Schizosaccharomyces pombe: one gene and its partners. The protein of the gene in region 3 binds, or shares a complex with, the protein of the main gene of each other region. Each region holds a gene or a part of one and is shown on either strand. Other genes may lie near its edges.

Evidence for each region.
Region 1: rtc6 (region 3) and img1 share a complex: the UniProt entries of both Schizosaccharomyces pombe proteins name them as parts of the mitochondrial large ribosomal subunit.
Region 2: rtc6 (region 3) and mrpl38 share a complex: the UniProt entries of both Schizosaccharomyces pombe proteins name them as parts of the mitochondrial large ribosomal subunit.
Region 4: rtc6 (region 3) and rml2 share a complex: the UniProt entries of both Schizosaccharomyces pombe proteins name them as parts of the mitochondrial large ribosomal subunit.

Annotation. Positions count from the first base shown.
Region 1 is NC_003424.3:1,638,215-1,643,533, forward strand, and holds img1 (mitochondrial 54S ribosomal protein bL19m), read left to right. Parts: upstream 1-3,480; 5' UTR 3,481-3,540; coding exon 3,541-4,089; 3' UTR 4,090-4,718; downstream 4,719-5,319. Other genes in the region: structure-specific endonuclease catalytic subunit Slx1, read left to right, coding at 429-527, 569-1,285; erg8 (phosphomevalonate kinase), read right to left, coding at 1,325-2,597, 2,664-2,671; anaphase-promoting complex ubiquitin -protein ligase E3 subunit Apc11, read left to right, coding at 4,894-4,912, 4,956-5,078, 5,296-5,319. UniProt on the Schizosaccharomyces pombe protein: Component of the mitochondrial ribosome (mitoribosome), a dedicated translation machinery responsible for the synthesis of mitochondrial genome-encoded proteins, including at least some of the essential transmembrane subunits of the mitochondrial respiratory chain.
Region 2 is NC_003423.3:3,549,760-3,554,080, reverse strand, and holds mrpl38 (putative mitochondrial ribosomal protein subunit L38), read right to left. Parts: upstream 2,738-4,321; 5' UTR 2,734-2,737; coding exon 2,692-2,733; intron 2,649-2,691; coding exon 2,591-2,648; intron 2,528-2,590; coding exon 2,247-2,527; 3' UTR 2,190-2,246; downstream 1-2,189. Other genes in the region: leucine-rich repeat protein Sog2, read left to right, coding at 1-1,259; SPOM_SPBC887.08 (uncharacterized protein), read right to left, coding at 1,531-1,779, 1,838-1,963; sorting nexin Snx3, read left to right, coding at 3,446-3,529, 3,579-3,644, 3,700-3,896, 3,977-4,061; RNA-binding protein Cwf29, read left to right, coding at 4,200-4,204, 4,295-4,321. UniProt on the Schizosaccharomyces pombe protein: Component of the mitochondrial ribosome (mitoribosome), a dedicated translation machinery responsible for the synthesis of mitochondrial genome-encoded proteins, including at least some of the essential transmembrane subunits of the mitochondrial respiratory chain.
Region 3 is NC_003423.3:1,518,089-1,522,072, reverse strand, and holds rtc6 (mitochondrial 54S ribosomal protein bL36m), read left to right. Parts: upstream 1-1,582; coding exon 1,583-1,861; 3' UTR 1,862-2,043; downstream 2,044-3,984. Other genes in the region: Lid2 complex histone demethylase H3-K36 subunit Jmj3, read right to left, coding at 1-629, 686-802; RNA-binding protein Yme2, read right to left, coding at 2,084-3,984. UniProt on the Schizosaccharomyces pombe protein: Component of the mitochondrial ribosome (mitoribosome), a dedicated translation machinery responsible for the synthesis of mitochondrial genome-encoded proteins, including at least some of the essential transmembrane subunits of the mitochondrial respiratory chain.
Region 4 is NC_003421.2:694,262-699,671, reverse strand, and holds rml2 (mitochondrial 54S ribosomal protein uL2m), read right to left. Parts: upstream 3,761-5,410; 5' UTR 3,751-3,760; coding exon 3,589-3,750; exon of another isoform or gene 3,565-3,588; intron 3,516-3,564; coding exon 2,589-3,515; 3' UTR 2,190-2,588; downstream 1-2,189. Other genes in the region: protein mug123, read right to left, coding at 1-634; RNA cap binding protein cbc3, read left to right, coding at 1,273-1,492, 1,545-1,797, 1,920-2,067; transcription factor TFIIIC subunit Sfc4, read left to right, coding at 4,827-5,410. UniProt on the Schizosaccharomyces pombe protein: Component of the mitochondrial ribosome (mitoribosome), a dedicated translation machinery responsible for the synthesis of mitochondrial genome-encoded proteins, including at least some of the essential transmembrane subunits of the mitochondrial respiratory chain.

The DNA of each region.
Region 1 (5,319 bases), on a different chromosome or scaffold from region 3:
GAGTATTAAAAATCTAAAGATTTCTTAATTAGTGTATATGAAGGAGAGGACAAGGTAGGTCCTTTGAAGTAGCTTTGTTGAGAATTTAATACAACAAAAAAAACACGCTTAGACGGTGCTTAAATAGGTTCAGTAATTCTTTCCTTTTTTTTGAATTATAAATAATCCTTAGTGAAAGAGAAAGTAATGAAGCACGTCAAATAACAATTTAATCTTACAGATTTACGTGGATAACCCTAAAGACAGTAACGGTGACCTTTTGTTTTACATTGTTTTCTTACTATTATTCGAAGACAAAGCTGAAAGAAAAAATACTTTTAGATTATACTTTCAATTAATTAACTTAACAAGCTTATAAAATTACCACTAGTTAATTGTTCGATTACCACGGGTTAAGAGAAAAGTGCTATCGAAAAGAATTATGAAACATGGATTTGTGCAATTTCTACTGCTGTTATTTACTAAAGTCGAATAGGACACAATCAAGTGGAGCTGTTTATATCGGTTCCACACCAGATCCACCTAGAGTAGGTATTTTGTGCTATTATAGGAAACTAATTTGTTTTAGCGATTGCGGCAACATAATGGGGAAATAGTTGGTGGTGCATCAAAAACTAAACACGGGCGCCCTTGGTCGATTTCATGTTTAGTTTACGGCTTTCCTAACAAAGTGTCTGCTTTAAAGTTCGAATGGAATTGGCAAAATCTGGGAATCTCGAGGTACACTAAAGATTGTGATTTCCGTTCAAAAAAACAAAAAACCATTATGTATTGTCTTAAAGGTTTAAAGCATTTGGTTGACAGTGATACGTGGAGAAGATGGCCATTAAACATCACATTTCTAAATAAAACTGCTTTCAGTAAATGGAATCAACTTGGTAAAACTTATGGTAATATCAATGTATACTTCGACGAAGAATGGTTAAATGGGTTTCACGAAAAAGTAATCCAAAAAACTTACGATCATAAATTATGTTTAAGAAAGACAATATCAGAGCCTGTTAAGTGTAACCTATGCTACGAATGTATCGAATCTGATGAATTGCGGGCTAATTGCCCTTTTACGGATTGCAATTCAATAAATCATTTAACTTGCCTTGCAAGCAGTTTTCTGACAGAAGAATGCCAGGTTCTTCCAATCGAAGGAATGTGTACAAAATGCAAAAGAGTATTGAGATGGAGAGAGTTCCTGTCTACGGTTTTCACTACTTCTTTAGAAACTGACGAACGAGATTTTGAAAGCGAAAATAGAATAGAAATCATAGATCTAGAACTAGAAAAATAGCGCCAATACTGTGTCAGCAATCTCTATAGTTAGTCTTGTTTATTCTACGGCTAGCCCATCGAAAGCAGGAGAAACGTCCATGGGTACTACCCCATCATCTTTCCATGTTTTGATAACATTTTCGATTATCTCCGTATGGTTAATGGCCAAACAAAATTGTGCATCAAATCCGCCGGCTCCAGGAACTCCCACACCAATGACACCAGGCAACTGCTCTATGTTGTCTAAAATATTTGTTTGCTTTAAAGGTTCTATGTCAACCTTTGCTTCAACGGTAATTCTTTGAAGAATACGACGAATGGATCGAAATTGACTTTGAAGTTCAGAGTCTAAGCTTTCAGAAGAAAGAAAACAGTTTTTGATGGAAAGCACTCTTGAATACAAATCATCAAAGCAATTCTTAGATTCCTCTGGATTTTCCTTTTGCCATTGCTGTACTTTTTTTACCATACCCGGTGTGCTACTGCCACCAGCTACGTCCCCCATTAGCAAACAATAAGTAGCAGGCAATTGAAATGGAACAACATCTGACCATTTTTTAGAAACTATTTTTCTCAGTTCGGTGGAAAAATTTATGTTCTTTATTTGTTCGTCGTATGGGACCAGCAGTTGTTCAATTAATTTAGGATCAAACCTTCTATAAATACAACTTCCCCAAGTGGCAGCGCCAACATCAAACCCACTTCCTACTTTTCCTTGTGCAGAACAGTGGGCAATTTGTGCCAGATTGTGAACTATGACTTTGGTTGAATCATCAATTTTGAGAGATTTGTCACCAGTGTCATCTGTTAGTCGTCTAAGACTTAAAAATAATGAACCTATAAGACTTGTAATCATAGCTGCCGAGCTTCCTAAACCAGTCTTATGTACTTGACCTAAAGTACAGTTTAAGAAATTGAATTTTGGATAGCTTGTTTGATCAGGCTTTAACTGTGGTTGGTGATAATAGGCATTATCTACCTGCAATGTAACTTGAAGATCTTGCCAGCATAAAGGTTGTCGCCCCGTGGAAAAAAAGTAGTTAATTACATAAAAAAGTGCCAGTTGAACGAAGGGGTTTGGATTTTTTTCCAATTCACAGTTTTCATATATCTGATGAACTCGAATAGGAGATACAGTCCAATCAATATTATAAAGCCATTCAGCGTTAATGAATTGAGGGCTTTTCACACGAACCGTTCCACATTTATCGTCCAAAGTCGTTGTGGAAGCGTACCCTTTGGCAGTTAAACCAATAACAAGCCCGCTGTATTGAGGATCTAAAACAATGTATCCACCAGCTATAAGTACTTTACCAGGAGCAGAGCAGGTCCTGCCAAAGACGCTAGTTAGAGATGGACAAAACAGAAAAAAAGAAAAAAGACTGGTTTCAACTTACACTTTCATGTTGATATATTTTTGTCTTGAATATGGATATCTCTATAATGTTTTGTGTGTCGTAACTTTTTTATAGGACCTGAGAAGGAAATAGAAAGGAATGTATGACTTCTATCTTACGTGATAATCTGTTGAATTTAGAGAAATGATATATCAGTCAAAGTAAAAGAGAGGATTATCTTCGAACAGTAGCTCCTGAAAAGTGTTATTCTAAAAATCAAAAAAAATAAAAAAAGAACTGATCAAAGAGTATCAAATGTTATACAGAAACTAAAGTTGCTTTGAGTAAATCAACTTTCTAAATCATTATCGTATCGTTCGTTTCGCAAGATTTGCTTGTGGAGAAAATAGTATAGAAAATTAACGTTAATTAAGGAGAGTTCGAAATCAGGAATACAGAGATTACATTAACGCATATTCATATTAGAGTATATAATTGATTGCATATAAAATAATATCTTTTACGAAAATGGAACATTAAGGTGGAAAGAAAAAAGCAAATCTTGCTATTGAAGTTTTCTGAATACCAGCGAGTTATTGATAGTATTATAACTACAATGAGAAGCCATGTAACTGAATTGGAACACGTATATTCATTCGGGTTCAACAGGAATCTTTCTATTGCCTTGAACATTCAAGGTCAGAAACACAATCCTTGATGGATAAATCATATAAAAATATATAATCAACTGTATTAACTTACATAGTCTAATATAGCGTAATGGAAGGTTGACAATAAATAACATATAACGAAATACGTTGTGCAGAATTTGCTAATTCATTTTGAATACCATCGTACTTACTTAAAAAGATACTCTGTAGAATATAGTGTTTTGTCATTCTTACTAACGAACGGTATTTAATGACTTTTGGAAGACATGTTTAATGCCAAACACTTTTTCAATTTAGGATTGGGCTTTCAATGGCTACAAAAGAGAGGTATTGGATCGTTAAAACGGCCTTATAACTTTCCAAAGCCAGTACCAGGTCCAAAGCACAAAGATGTGTTATCATTATTCGAAAAAAAGTGCCGTTCAGTATTGGATGAGCAATCTGAGCGATTCAAAATGTTTCATCGCTCGCAGCCAAATCGAGTAAGACCAGGCGCGGTTTTACTGGTTGAAAGCTACTCAAAATACCCATCAAAAGATTCAGTCAACAGATTTGCTGGTTATCTACTGCGAATTCGGCATCGTGGACCAAAAAGTTCAATCCTGTTACGAAACGTGGTAATGGGTGTTGGAGTCGAATATTTGTTACCAATTTACTCTCCACAAATTAAACGTATTGTTGTCCTCAAAGAAAATGGTCTATCTAAAAGACCTAGAAGAGCATACTTAAGTTACTTGCGTCAACCTCGCTTTCGTCTTCCACCTGTTGAATCACTGGTGCGAAAATACATTGAACAAAATCAACATAAACCTTGACACAATCATTGCAACTTCTGCAAGTAAATTTCTTTTTTTTTGCGAATCTTTCATGATTTTATTCAAGAAGCGCTGTATGATTTATAGTTCGTTTACACTCTATGTTTCCCTATCTACTTGTCTTTTTCTACAGGCTATTGCATTTAGAACTGCATTATAAGAGGCGTTGGTTGGTTTTCTGGAACAGATTTAGAGATTTGGATGTATATTTCGGCTTTAGCCTGTTTGTCAAAACACGTATTATCGATTCCATGAAACGGCAATGAATCACCTCCTTTGAGCCTTTTACCCCCTTCTCATTCTTTGAATCGACAAGTCACATGTCATTGCCATTAATTTTCCCAGATGAATTTGTGAGGCACTATGAATCAAAACCTCTACTTTTTTCTTATAAATTTGAGCTGTATGTAGGCTTGCCTCTTCATAATTCTGCGCTTTGATTATTTTGAATAATATTTGAAATTATTCATGTAAAAAAGTATAAAACTTGAGCTCAACAATATGTTATAAGCTAAAGAAGCAAAGTATCATAAATATAAAAATTTTGTTAGCATGTCGAATGTAGCCGGCTTGTTACAGTCCAATGAAAATTAGTTTTAGTTAGAAATTTTAAACTTTCAGAAAACGAAAAGATGTATAGCTAAAGCCAAATATCAACTGTAAATCTACTAACTCTTCTCTTCTTACGACATTTTGTTTTTCGCCTGAATTGTTTTCTTAATACCGTGGTAGAACGTAAAACATTAGCTAGCAAAAAACACTAATGTTTATTTAATTAGATCTCAAATACAATATACAAAGACTATGAAGGTGAAAATACTGAGTAAGCGAATATTTTGGAAATAAAATTGTTTTCTAACCACTAGGATACCATGCAATTGCTAACTGGACGTGGGATACCCCAAAAGACGACGTTTGTGGTATATGTCGTGTTCCATTCGATGGATGCTGCCCTCAATGCACAAGTCCTGGAGACAATTGCCCCATAGGTAAGAATATGTTTGTATTTATTTCCTGAATATGCTCTGCGGAGGCTTACTTGTATACTTTGCATCCTAAGGGGGTATCAGCATGAAAATTTGTTGCGCAATTGGGTTGGTTGTGTTCAAATAATCTTTAATCTAATATTCATACTTTGTTTTTGTTAAAAAGAGTTTATCATGGGCATCAGCTTTCACAGAATTAATTAAAGGCTAACTACGCTAGTTTGGGGGAAATGCAAGCATATAT
Region 2 (4,321 bases), 2.0 Mb from region 3:
AAAAAGAAGAAACGCATGAAAATGGCTCCAATTTGACAAATGACTCGGTCAACAGCTACTTCAGTAACATTGGAGGGAGTGAGGTTGAAATGAAGCACTCGGCCTTTGAAAAAACTTTAGAGTCGTCTAGGGGCATATTGTTTTCGCTTTCGCAAGTCCAACAAGCCCTTCGTCAGCAACTTCTTTTTTGCAGCAACCCCGTTGTTTTAGATTCTATGCGTCATGTGTTACATACTGCCAATGTTCAAATTAAGCGGCTAATTCTGTGCTTTGAGGATACCCAACAAAGCAATGATGGAACTGCAAACATTAATTCCATAGTAAACGCTTCATTGTCTTGTATCAGCTCGTTTCGTAAACTAATTGAAGTGACAAAAAAATTTTTAAATGAGCTCACTAGTCGTGCGGATGTCCGATATGTTCGGCTTTTACTGCTAATTCTTTTCGATGCTGCAAAGGAGTTACAAAACGCCTTGGTACCATTGAGTCCATCACAACCCCATAGTGGTAATAACATATTCGCCGATCAGGTACGTCAATCTCCGACAAGTATGATCCGGACTGCATCTGGGCTTACGAACAGAATCGTTAGCGTTGAAAAACCAGCATCAGTGATGAATCCTGAAATTGATAAACAAATACAAGATCAGGTCGCTTTAGCAACAAACAGTGCAATGTCAGTTTTGACATTACTAATTGATGCTGTTCCTAAAAATAACCAGCCTGATCTAGTAAATGAAAACATCGCACCCAATTTGATTAGTAAGTTACGTGAATTGGGATCATTATCCGCCGCCGCCTGTGATGTTACTAGAAAACTTAAGCATCGCCTTCTAACTTTTCAAACGAATCCGGAAGAATTGGAATGGCAGCTTTTTTTGGACGACACTCAAGCATTTGTCAAGTCTATTATTGCAGTCGCAAATTTAGCGAAAGCGTTATCCAGTGAATATACATTCCAAAAAAGCGTATTAGCTGGTCTTTCAGCTGCAACAAGATCTACAAAAGATCTTACTATCTTACTTTCTTCCTCTGCTCGACATTACACTGAGTCATCTTTAGCCACTCCTGTTCCTTTGATGTCCCCAATAGCCCGCGTACCTGCAACACCGTTGTCAGCGGCTCTGGGTTCGGCTGCTCAATCTATTACATCTCCTCTAATCATGTCACCAGCTGCAATTCCGGCGTCAGCCTATAGTACTAATAAAATCGATTACTTTACTGACGCGGATGGGAACGTGGAAGGTTTACAGCGCTAAAGAATTTTTTAATGAAGATTGATGAGGAATAATTGGTAACTCGATAACTCAAAAGCCTACAAAGACTATAAATTTAATGATACAAAAAATGATGCACGATTGAATTTGATTAATTTATTTCTTATTCAAATAACAAAACCAAGGACAAATTGTAAAGGATGATGGTACAAGTAGTGATTAATCTGTTTCCACATGAAAATCATGTACAAAAATTAGACAGAGTGTGTAGTTTTGGGTAGGTACTCTTTGACAAGACAAAAATTTTTTCTAATTAATTGCTTTGCTTATTTTCAAGTTTCATTTCGCATCTTCTGATGATGTCTTCAATTTCATTGATTTCGCCTGAACTCAGTCTGTGGTACTCAATGCTGGAACTATCAGTTGGAACATCAAGTGCTTGAAATGCAAACTTTTTAGCTAAGGAATAGTTTCCCAGATAATATTGTTCTTCCGCTGCAAATTTTGATTGCTCTAAAATATAGGCTTCTTCACCGAGGACGACGCCATTTTTACTAAGATGCTGAATAATCTGTTAAAATCATAGACAATAAATTGGGAGTAAAAAATGAGTAACATACACCAAAACATTGAACTCTTGGAGTCCATCCATCAGTTTCAATGCTTACTTTCTGTTTTAATCGCTTATTCCGTTCAAGCTTTGACTCACTAACATCAAAATCCAAATCAATCGCCAGCAAATCCATTCTTACTAGAACATTAAATTCTTTTGATCGATCAGATATATTTAACAGATAATGGACTATATAATAAAGCCTGCTACAGCTGTATTTTACTAAAAAAGTGTGTAGTAAAAACCTTTTAACCCCACAATGCTTACGAGTAACAAAACTCCAAAAAAGCAAAATCTTAATTGGCTATCAGGTAAAAAGTGTTTGCTGAAGAGACAAGGTCCCTTAATTAGACGTAGAATAGAAAATTAAAAAATATATTTTAATTAAGTGAAATATTAACATTACAATACCCTTTTCAGATGGTTCGTGGAGCAAGAGATGCTATTTTAGTATGATGTTTTGTTCTGAGCTCGTTGGCAACGACTGACAAGATACGGGTTCCCAGAGGCTCACACTCCTTATTAACCAAGACGCAGGCATTATCATCAAAACGAACATAACGACCATCGGGTCTTCGAACTGGTGATTTCGTCCGAACAATGATAGCATGGTGGATATCACCGCGTTTAACTTTATTAGCAGCAGTAACTGATGAACCGCTTCGTGCCTTTTTTACCACTACTACCACTTCATCACCTGTTTTTTAAAAAAAGGTGATGTTAGTCGAATATAAACAAAAGATCACTTCGTGCTACTTACCAAGTGAAGCGAATTTTCCCGCGCGAACTACACGAATGCACTCAGCTAAGGTAGCACCCTTTTCCATCTTATTAGTACAAATAGTAATATTTTAAACTTACGGAATTGTCGATAACTTTGAGTATACCTTTAAGTCCGATCATTGCTAAAGATTCAAGTACTTGACCATACATTCACGTACTCGCTTCCACTATAAATTACACTATGCGTAATATTAGAATTTGGTATTTGACGTTAGTTGGCATATCGTAGTATGTAACACATCGCAAAATATATAAATAAAAACAACTGTTTGTATTAAAAAAAAAGCGATTTGATTAGATGCATTCAAATATGAAATTATTCCAAGCAAATTGTTTGTCATAACCTGTTATCTTGCTTTAACCTTCTGATGTTTTGCTTGTTACACATGTTTTAATCAAATTCTTCATCATGCATGGAGTTGTGGAATAGTCATTAAAGCAAAAATGTGATATTGACTAGCAATTGCTCTTATCATATTAAAATATCATAATGGATTGTATGCTACATATTTGATTTTGTATTACTCGTTAATTTTGTTGAAAGTGAGAGGAGGATTTGGACGTTAGTGAATCCATTTTATTTTTTGGAAGCAAATGAACTATCATTCTCATCTTTAGACGACGCAGTTTGAAAAAATGCTCTGCGATATGTTTACAGTAAACGCCTTACTAATTTGCGATCCGATTATGAATCTCATTAGCCGTACCCGTATCTGAGCTAGACACTACACCTTGTATCGAAACTTTTAAACTTCTTCAAAATTTCAACTATTACTTGTTAAACAGTAAAATAATATTGGATATCGCTCTTAAGAGTAATAAGGGTAAATAAATGGATAAATTAAGTAGACCGGAAATCAGGCAGCAAACTACTCAACAAATGTATGATGTTCCTGAAAACATCCTTGAAATTGATGTATGTTTACTTTATTATTTCGAAATATTTCTAATAGATGTTATTTTAGGTTATAAATCCACAAACTCACGGTATTGGAAGAAACATGTTTACTACTTATGAAATTGTTTGTCGGGTAGGTACCACTGAAATTCATCTTCTGATAGCAGATTATTAACTCATTTTTGTAGACCAATATGCCCTATTTTCGTCTACATAATTCTAGCGTTCGTCGACGTTACAGCGAATTCGAGAAATTTCACGATATGCTTGAAAGAGAGTCCGGTCGTGTTTCAATTCCACCACTTCCAGGAAAGATATTCACTCAAAGATTTAGAGATGATGTTATCGAAGAACGTAGACAAGGTTTGGAAAATTTTTTACGACTGTAAGTATTGAATGTTAATTTTGCCTTATTGCCCCAAAGAGCGTTTTAAATTGCACAAAAACTAATACATTATTATGTAGAGTTGCTGGACATCCTCTTATTCAAACCCATTCTCGTGTTTTATCTTCTTTTTTACAAAGCCCGGAATTCAAGCCTACGCCATAAACCCGCCGCTAACTTGTTTTTCTCCATTTTGCCCTCCAACTGTTAATTTTTGTCAATCTTTTTTTTTATTTTAAAAGAAAAATTTGGAAATCAATCTGTTACAAAGTTTAATTACCATTTAAAATACCTTAGGTTGTTATGAAGTAAGTTTTCTATTGAGGCTAAAATATAGCAAAAATCCGATTCATCTTTTCGCTGTTTTCGTTTTTTAATTTTAAAATTAACAAAAGTAGCTCCATTCGTCAAATTGAGCGTTTAAA
Region 3 (3,984 bases):
CCAGCTAATTTTTTAAAAGACTCACTATGTGCTGAAGGTATCACATACCATTGCAATGAAGAGCCACCTAAATGTACCTGAACTGCATGCAGCTCAGGAGATTCTACCCGCCAAGGAAGGGTAGTTTTCCATTTCCCAGCAAATAAGTGACCAACATTTGGCCAAGTGTTAATCAATGTATTCGATCTTAAATGTACCCTATCTTTTTGAGCAGCAGATATCGAAGGTATAAAATAGAAGGGGATCGATGGGCGATTAGTATATCCATACCACAGACTGTCATGGGTCAAAGAACGCCAATAATATGCAATAGCTTTAGCCACATTGTTTTCAAAGTCATTAGAACTTCCAGCGTTTGAAGGAAACCTGTCGTCGACATTCATATCGGTAGGCTTTTTAGGACCAGCCGAGCCATGGTCTATATCGCTTTGAATCTCGAAGTACTCTCCTTTCCGTCTCACCATTCGCTCTAACCATAAATCCATTTTTACATCGGAAGGTTTCATTGTATCTTCGTTCCAAGGATTTAAAACAGAACTAGGACGAACAACTTTAATTGCGCCGTATTTCTTGCCAAGCCTTTCAACGCGCCGAATAAAACTTTCCATATCTACAAATTCTGAAATTTTCTAAACAAATTTTGTTAACATCCACAAAATATTTAATATTTTTCGCGTAAACTTACTGGTTCCACAACAGGTATGCCATCTGACCCTTCGATATGATAATCGATTTCACACTCCAAAGAACTCACTGATGTGTCACTTTTGCCAGCATGTTTCTCTTTAACATTTTGCTGCATAGCAATCTATTTTTCAGCCTTTGGATTGAATATTTTGGTGTTTTTGAGACATCCACCAATTCGTGGGATTTGCTAAATTTTCCTTTAACAATCTTTTACCAAGGCAAATGACGCATCTGCACTCCAGTTCCATACCCAAATTAGCAAAGTATAACGAACTCGTTATACCAGCAACTAAAAACATAAACAAATTCTCAAAAATTGATCATTTCAAATTAATCGATTAGCATGCCAAACCAAATAACGTAGAATCAAAGTTATTAGATGATGCGGTCAATTAGCTATTTTAGGGACTAAGAAGGTCAGAGACTCAACATTAAAATTTTCATTTGTAAACAAAAAATGGAGCTACACTGTTGAGTTGACTCCACTTTAATAAAAGTATTCCTTATTTTAAAATAATGTGATAAATTTCAGGTCAAATTGCTCCACAGTAAGCTGGCTATTGAATTTATAGAATAACAAGACATGTTGGTTGTCACTAACTGACATGTCGTAGGTTAGCTTACTAGAAGCACTAACTACTATTTATTTTCCCAACAAAGAATATCCAACAAATCGGGCGTAAGCGAGTTTATATAACTTAGTATTCACCTTTTTTTTTTATGAAAATCTTCTCTTGTTGATAGGCATTTTCTATTATCGTTCTTTTTTGGCTCAGTCCAAATTGTGAACACTTTTCCATCGTACATCATTTATTTAGCTCAGAATTACTTCGGATCCAAAAAAATTTAAACATCTTGACTTGAAGTCCCAGTTTCACTTTTTTTTTAACTTATAATGGCTTCATTAGGTCGTAAATTTTTTGCTGTGGGTGTTTTGTCACGAGTCTTCCCTTCTGCTTTTAATGCACAAAAAGGGTTGTTAAAAAATGCATCTATGTTCTTAACCCCTGCTTTCAGACTTTCTCCTAGCCTTCTACCTTGGAACTTTTCAAGAGGTTTCAAAGTGAAAGCATCAGTAAAAAAGCGTTGTTCATCCTGCTATTTTGTGCGTCGCAAAGGTAGGTTGTATGTACTATGCAAAAAACATCCGAGACATAAAACCCGTCAAGGTTAATGACTATAACCGGTTTCGCTTCTTCTTTTTTTTTCTACCTAGGCTAATTCTTCATTACGCTCACTTCATATTACGACGATTTTTGGACTACCTACCAAATCCTTACTCCCTTCTCTCTCGTTAATGCGTAGTCATTAAATGTGATATTATTGTTGACATTATAGCTTCATGCTAAAGAATTCATAAAAACATACGTAATCTTAAATGATATGCTTTCGCATCTTAGTCGATTTTTTTCAAAGCCTCAGTAAGCCTTTCTATACTTTTCTCATTATCAGTAATAACACCTTGATTTTTCTGGATACGCGTCGTTAAGTAATGAGCACGATCCTTCACACCTGATTCAAGGTTCCCAAGGTCCTTTAGCATTTGTAGCTCCTGTTCATCATTCTTGATAGCATTGTTAGCCATGCCAATTAACGCGTTACATCTCACCAACTGCATATTAGCACTTAATACTGGATCATTTACAAGTTGCCGGAAAGCCGTAACATATACAGGTTTTCCAGCGTAGACTTTATCCGGTCTTGCATTCACTGTGGTAATAGTAATCAATTCTGATTCTTCCAAGGCACGAACGGCATCGTCGTGTCCTTTGAACAGTGGGTCAAGCATCAACATATGATAGGGTATATATTCATGTTGAGATAAATAAGTAATTAAGGTCCATGACTCTTCTGGAGTGAACGTTGGCTTCTCCTCACTGGTTAAAGAAGCAGGCCGTAAAAATGTTTGCAAAATATCAGAGGCATTTTGACTTACAATACCGCCAATTGCTTCAGAAACACTGGAAGAATTAACCCGCAACCTACGAGCTACATAATCAAGATCACGAAGTCGGCCACCAATCTTCGGTAATTGGACCCGCAATTCTTTCCTCAATTCTTCTGTTTGCATCTCTTCGGGTAAAGACTCTATGACATATCGCTGAGCAAGTACAGGGTCAGCATCTCCTAATAACAATGTTCTATTTTCCCAACCGTTGACATATTGCTCTAATGACTTGGTGCCTCCAACATCGGGTGTTAGCATTAGTACATGAGCAATTCCTTCCTTTACCAAATTACCAGCCCATTCAGCAACCACTCTCTGCATCGGGTTTGATAATTTACGAAGCTGGAAATTGTCGAGAATAACAACAGGTAAGCGATCTGCATGAACTTCTAAAAACTCAGATTCATCCAACACACTAGTATCGGCTTCTTTATGCTCTCGTAATGCTAGAGAACGCAATACCGTTTGTGTTGTGTTAAGAATTTGCCGCACTTGTCCTTCACTAGAAGAAACAATTCCCGTTTTTTGTCCTATGAGACCTTGTGCAGCCATATCGATAAGTGACGATATGTTGTTTAGGAAGCTAAAGAGGGGGAAATACCCCGTTTGGCTAGCAAGAGTACTTACGAACATTTCCGTATTAGTAGTGGAGAATAAGCGATCACAGTCGAAAAACAAAACATTTTTTCGTTCTTTAACAACTCGATCTACCAGATCACGCTTACCACTACCACGAGGACCTTGAACAACAATAAAAGAATGTAATGCTTCATCCAACCATTCTTTCAACTGTTCACAATCCTTTTCACGTGTTGTCCAAATCGGTGCCTTTATATTTGTACCATTTTCGTGAAAGGGACTCAAAACTATATCGCGAGTTTTCTTTTTGACCCACCCAACAACATTGATATTTCTCAACTTCTGACCATGTACAATGTTTGTCTCGACAAAGAACTTTCTTATCGGATCGAATAAAGAAGCCGTTAAAACTGTAATAGCCGCCGCAACCAAAGGAATAGTAAAACGAGGATGAGAGAATAACCAGTCTTTGAAGGCGACAAAGCGGTTCATATGTCTGTATCGCATGTGGAATTCTGTTTTCCCATAAACAAAACCATGCATACAGTTTAAAGCTGACGTAGCGGACCTTAGCGATGAAAAACTCAAAGTAGCAGAAGTAGGTGAATTAATGGTCACGGATCTTAGTTTTCCATATGTCCTAAAAATACTATACAATCTTTCCTGGGAAAGGGGCGGACCTTCGAAATTCACATCTACTGTACGAGATGGAAATATATATAAATCTTGAAGCCAAGGAATACCATGTACCATGTGTGGAATCGGGGTAG
Region 4 (5,410 bases), on a different chromosome or scaffold from region 3:
CCTCGTCTGAAGATTCAGAACTGCTGCTTCGTCGATTGACAAGATAAGATTGAATATCATGAGTAGGTGATCCGCTACGAGATTCAAAGCCGTCTGATTGAGTAGTTTCGGCTCTGGAGTCTGCTCTTGAATGTATTGACATTCCCATAATGGAAGGTGCAGTCCCACTATGGGTTGAGCTGGCACGTGAAGACTCAATCATTGAGATATATGTTGGTGCAGTATTCGATGTCGAAATTACCAATTCGTCCTCATCGTCATCCTTACCTTCGGTAGCAGATAATCGTGGAGTAAGAATGGTGTGCTGAGGAGCCATTGTACGTGAATGAAGCGAAGCAGGACGGGTGTGATAAACACCATGATGCTGGCTAGAAAATACCCTTGAGCGCATGCCTCCTAAGCCTTTGCTGGAAGACTTCCCATTTTGTGATGAACTTTTGATTGATGGGCTAGAGTGTAAAGGAGCCACACGGCCTATATCACTCCAGACAGTCGCCTTTGCACGGCGTAAACTCTGTACGTAAGAAAAAGTAGAACCATTTGACTCATGGTTGCTATTAATGGCATTCGAAGTTGGAAGGGAAGACCTCGAATATGGATCATCATGGCTCGATCGAGTAGCTAAACGTTCCATGCGATTAGTCTTCTGTCTAGTAATGATTATTATCTATTTATTCCTTCTTTGAATAAGTTGCTTGTAGAGTAATTCCAATTAATTTTTAAAAATTTCACAGACAAATGCCGGGATTAGAAAACGAATGGTGTTAAGATAGACAATCTTTTATTTGATTAAGCAATCAGCTAAAACTAATTAAACAAAGCTCATATATCTTTGAAAAGCGCAAGAATTAATGTTTCGTACTGAAAATTGCAAATGTGCGGAAGCTATGTTTACATGTCTCATTCTCGAACATACGGTGTCCCAGAGGTAAATCTTATTAGGTTTTACTGTAATATCCCATAAATTTCTGTAAATAACAATACGCAATTCAATGTGCTTTAGCGTACTGTAGATTCTTACACAAACGAGCCTTACATGCAAAAAGCCGATTTAATCTCCATTTTCCTTCTTAATTTTAAATACAAATTACATTTGACTTCCGATCTTCACTCATTATAGGAGACTGTACCGATTACATTGCCTATAGGGATCTTTCATCTCTCGTTATTCTCGTATAGCAAATTATAGCGCGTCGTAATTTTCTTTGGACGGCACATTCACTCTTTTGGAAACTGCATGTCTGCGAAGCAGTTGTAGAGAAGTAGATTTAAATGGATATCGTTGCAGAGACTCAGATTGAAGAAGAATCATTGATACCCGACGCCACTAGTACTCCATTAGAAACGGAAGTGGTGGCTGATACTACATTGCGTAAAACAGCTTTACATCTAGCTGGCGTCGATAATCTTTCAGAAGAACAAGTCAAAGGATTTATTTCAGCTTATGCTCCTGAATCTCAATGTACAATTGAATGGATTAATGATAACGAATGTAAGAAGCGAAAACTGGCAAAGGGTTAGTCTAACTCTATAACCGCGTATAGGCAACGTTGTTTATGCGGATGATGATGTTTCACGAAATGCTTTATTTCATTTAATTATGGAGTCTCCGACAGAATTTTCAGAGGAATTGGAATATCAAACGAAACCACACCCAACTGTACCGACGTGTCAATTCAAAATACGTTACGCCCGCTACGGAGACAAGAAGGTTAAAAGCGCACATCTTTACTCGAGATATTATCTGTTTCACGGTGATCCTCGAGAAGAAAAGGCTCAGAAGAGCAAATCTAAAAGGTATAACTTGTGAAAACCAAATTAGTCCGGGTGCACTCATACTTTTCAAAAATCATTTCCTCTACTTTTGAGAATCTCCTTTTACTCAATTTTATATTCAAATTACTAACACTTTCGCACAGTAGAAATCAAGATGAAAGGGGTTCGCCATTAGATGAACGACTAGGTCCTAAAGTGTCTGACCTTACACTGATGGAAAGAATATTCCAAGTTCGACGCAAGCCACGCAAATCAAGGAGAGACCGTCGTTCCAGGGTTTCCAAGCGTTAATTGTGTTGTAGAGAAATATTAAATACCCAGTTTATCCGCTTTTAAGTCGCTTTTCGCTGGACGAAGGCAAGAAAAAATTAATATGCTAAATTAGCTACAATTTTATAAATAAAATTTTTTTATTTAGTTGGCCATATTAAAATAAAACCGTTCTTTTCTGCGTTTAATAGAATACTCTTTTGGTACCTGAATGATATCGATAACCCTTTTAAGGTAGATGTAAGCAAACGACAATTTTGAATGGGATAGTCCTTAGCTTTAAGCAACGTTGTGATGAACAAAAATTACCAATACAGATTTAAATTGTAAGAGCTAAACTCTTAAAAAATGCTTAAAATTTTTCGTCGATAAATGACGGTCGACACAAAATAACTATACATAAATGCATCTGGTCCACAAATGGATAGGTAATAGCATCGACTATTAAAATGGAGAAGGGATCATGAAAATTGAAATGCATTACGGTAATGTAAAACATAGAAATGTAAAAGTCATGAAGACAGAGATCATTAATAAAATGATTACCGCTTTTCCTTTCCACGAGGACGATCGCGGACGAGTAATTTATTAACATTTTTACCTCTTCTTGTTTTGTATCCACCTTTAGCCAAAACACCCCAAGGAGATTGAGAAGGTTTATTACCAATGCTTTTACCACCACCACCACCATGTGGATGGTCACATGGATTCATAGCTGTACCTCGAACCGTAGGACGAATGCCAAGCCAACGTGAACGACCGGCTTTACCAAGCTGGCGATGTTGCCAATAAATATTGCTTACAACACCAATGGTAGCAAATGATGTATCCAAAATCTTTCTCTCTTCACCACTTTGTAGACGAACGATAGCATATTTACCATCAAAAGCTATGATACGAGCGCTACTGCCAGCAGAACGACATAGCTTTGCCTTTTGATTTGGATTTACACCAATGGCATGAATGACAGTTCCTATAGGAATTAATCTGAGAGGAAAACAATTTCCTGGCTTCAAATTTTTTGCTGCAAAAGTTCCATCTTCAATTTCAGCAGCTAGGACGGGGTCCATTTCTACTGGCTCGCCATTAGAACCAGTCTTCAAAAGCGATCGAAAGCTCTCAACTGTATCGCCTTCGCGAAGCCCGTCACAAGCCAAAATATAACTTTTGTTGGCTGTTTCGGAATTCAATTTTTCAACAAGGGCAATGTGACCACTTCTACCAGGGTCATACTCAATTCTAATCACTCGATGAACACCCGGTACTTTTCTTTCAAAGTCAACAAGACGAATACGTTGTTTGTGTCCACCACCCTGATGCCTTACAGTAATTCTTCCTGTTTCATTTCTTCCACCTTTTTTTCTTTTTGCAACGGTCAAAGGTCGAAAAGGTTTCCCTTTCCAAAGGTAATCACTAACTGGTCTTTTTAAATGACGAAGACCAGGAGATATAGGTTTGTAAGTTTTAATCTTGATAAGAATTAGTAAAAAATGAATTAAGGCTTGATAAATAAAAAGTAACCCTCGTGTTAATATTACATACCTCGAACTTCGTTTTTGGTCGTAGAAGCATCCCTACATCGTAGGGTCTCTCGGAAGATTCAATTTTTTCACCGCTTGTAGATGCGGTAGAGGCATATCTGAACAGCTTTAACGCATGAATTTGAGGAATCAAATACCCCCGAAATCGATTATAACTCAACATGGGGATTTCCAACTAAACCTATGGTAAGAACTCACAATATGATGGACTGCGAATTAACGAGTTCAATCATAATTTGCGACGCTCAGTGCTAAAATCTTTACACAATCCAAGGTGTCGTTAACTGTGTAAATAAATGAACATTGATCTAGGGAATACAACATAGAGGAAATTGAACACATTAGCTATAATAATGAAGAACTTTGTTTTATTGTTTGATCATCTGTGTAGTAAATATTTTATACATTGTAAACCCGATTCTATACGTTTGAAAGTAATGGCAGGTCAACTGAGAATTTCAACCACGTTATAATATATTGGAAATTTTGATAAATTGAATTTGCTTTTCCTTCGAGTTGAGCAAAGTTAAACTAGAATTTACGACACCTGTAATAAGCCTGCTGAGCATGAAGAGTTTAAGGGATTCAAGGTATCAGGAAAACATTGCTTTCTCACAAAACTCTTCTCACATTCCTTTTTGGATGTGTGCTTAATTAATTACTAAATAAGTTCACATACCAAAAAAATCTTATTTAATATACAGTTTCAACGAAAAGTTTCAACTATGGAAATTTGTTTTGTTAACTCGTTCATTTTCGTTTCAAAACAATTCGAAGATGGGGTTGATCTGCGTTTGTTTAATATAGCTTATTAGTTTGCTTATGAAAGGTTTCGATACTATACTCTGTGTACACTGACAAAGGTCAATCAACATGAAAAGCCTTGAGATGCCATTTTCCAAAAAAAAAAGTGAAAAACACTATTTGATTGACTAGGATCTTCCAAATTCTTACAGATATTAGGTATTTTGACAACATCAAAATTGTCAAGTTTGCAATTCAAAAATGTTGCAAGTAAAATAACTGGTGTCAGGAAAAAAGGACTAATATTTATTGACTTCATATTAATTAGTCAATTGTAGAACAAGATATGTGGTACCCATGACCTCTTTGTTTATTGAGTACTTCTATAATGACTTACTTCAACTTTGCCTTCACCAACGCCAACGCGAAAACAGCCAACTTCAAGTAGGCAAAAGGAACAGACCGATTTGAAAGCATGATTGAGCATCTTAAAGGATGATTCAAAATGGTGGAAATAGCTATGTGGATTCCAATATGAATGAAACGCAAAATGATACAACTGACAACTTTGATGCTGAAATGCAAGATCTAAACGGGTATATAAGCGAAATTGTCGATGAGGCTAGGAATGTATCTGAAGTTGATGCAAAATTTTTGGGAGATACCTCTGCCCTTCAAGCTGAGGGCCTTTGGTCAGACGAAGAGTCAGATTATGAAGGCAGTGACGATGAATCAAACTTTAGTAAAACAGCCTCAAGAACCGAGGACGACATTGCGAACGAGGAATGGGAAGAAAATTTAAAGGCAGTTGCTGGATTTAGAAAAGTCCGTAAAGGTCATAAAGGTCGAGGACGTGTTAGTCGAGCTGATATGCTTCCCTCGGTGGAAGTGCAACAAATGTTGAGTTTAGCGAATCATTTGTTTGCGCAAGAAGGAAACTTCGACGAAGCCCAAAAATTAGCTGAAGAGATTGTTCGTATTGATAATAATGTCATTGCGGCTTGGAAAATGCTTGGTGAATGTCATCGTCAAAGGGGTAATGGAAGAGTAAATATTGAAAAGTGCTTAATTGCTTGGAT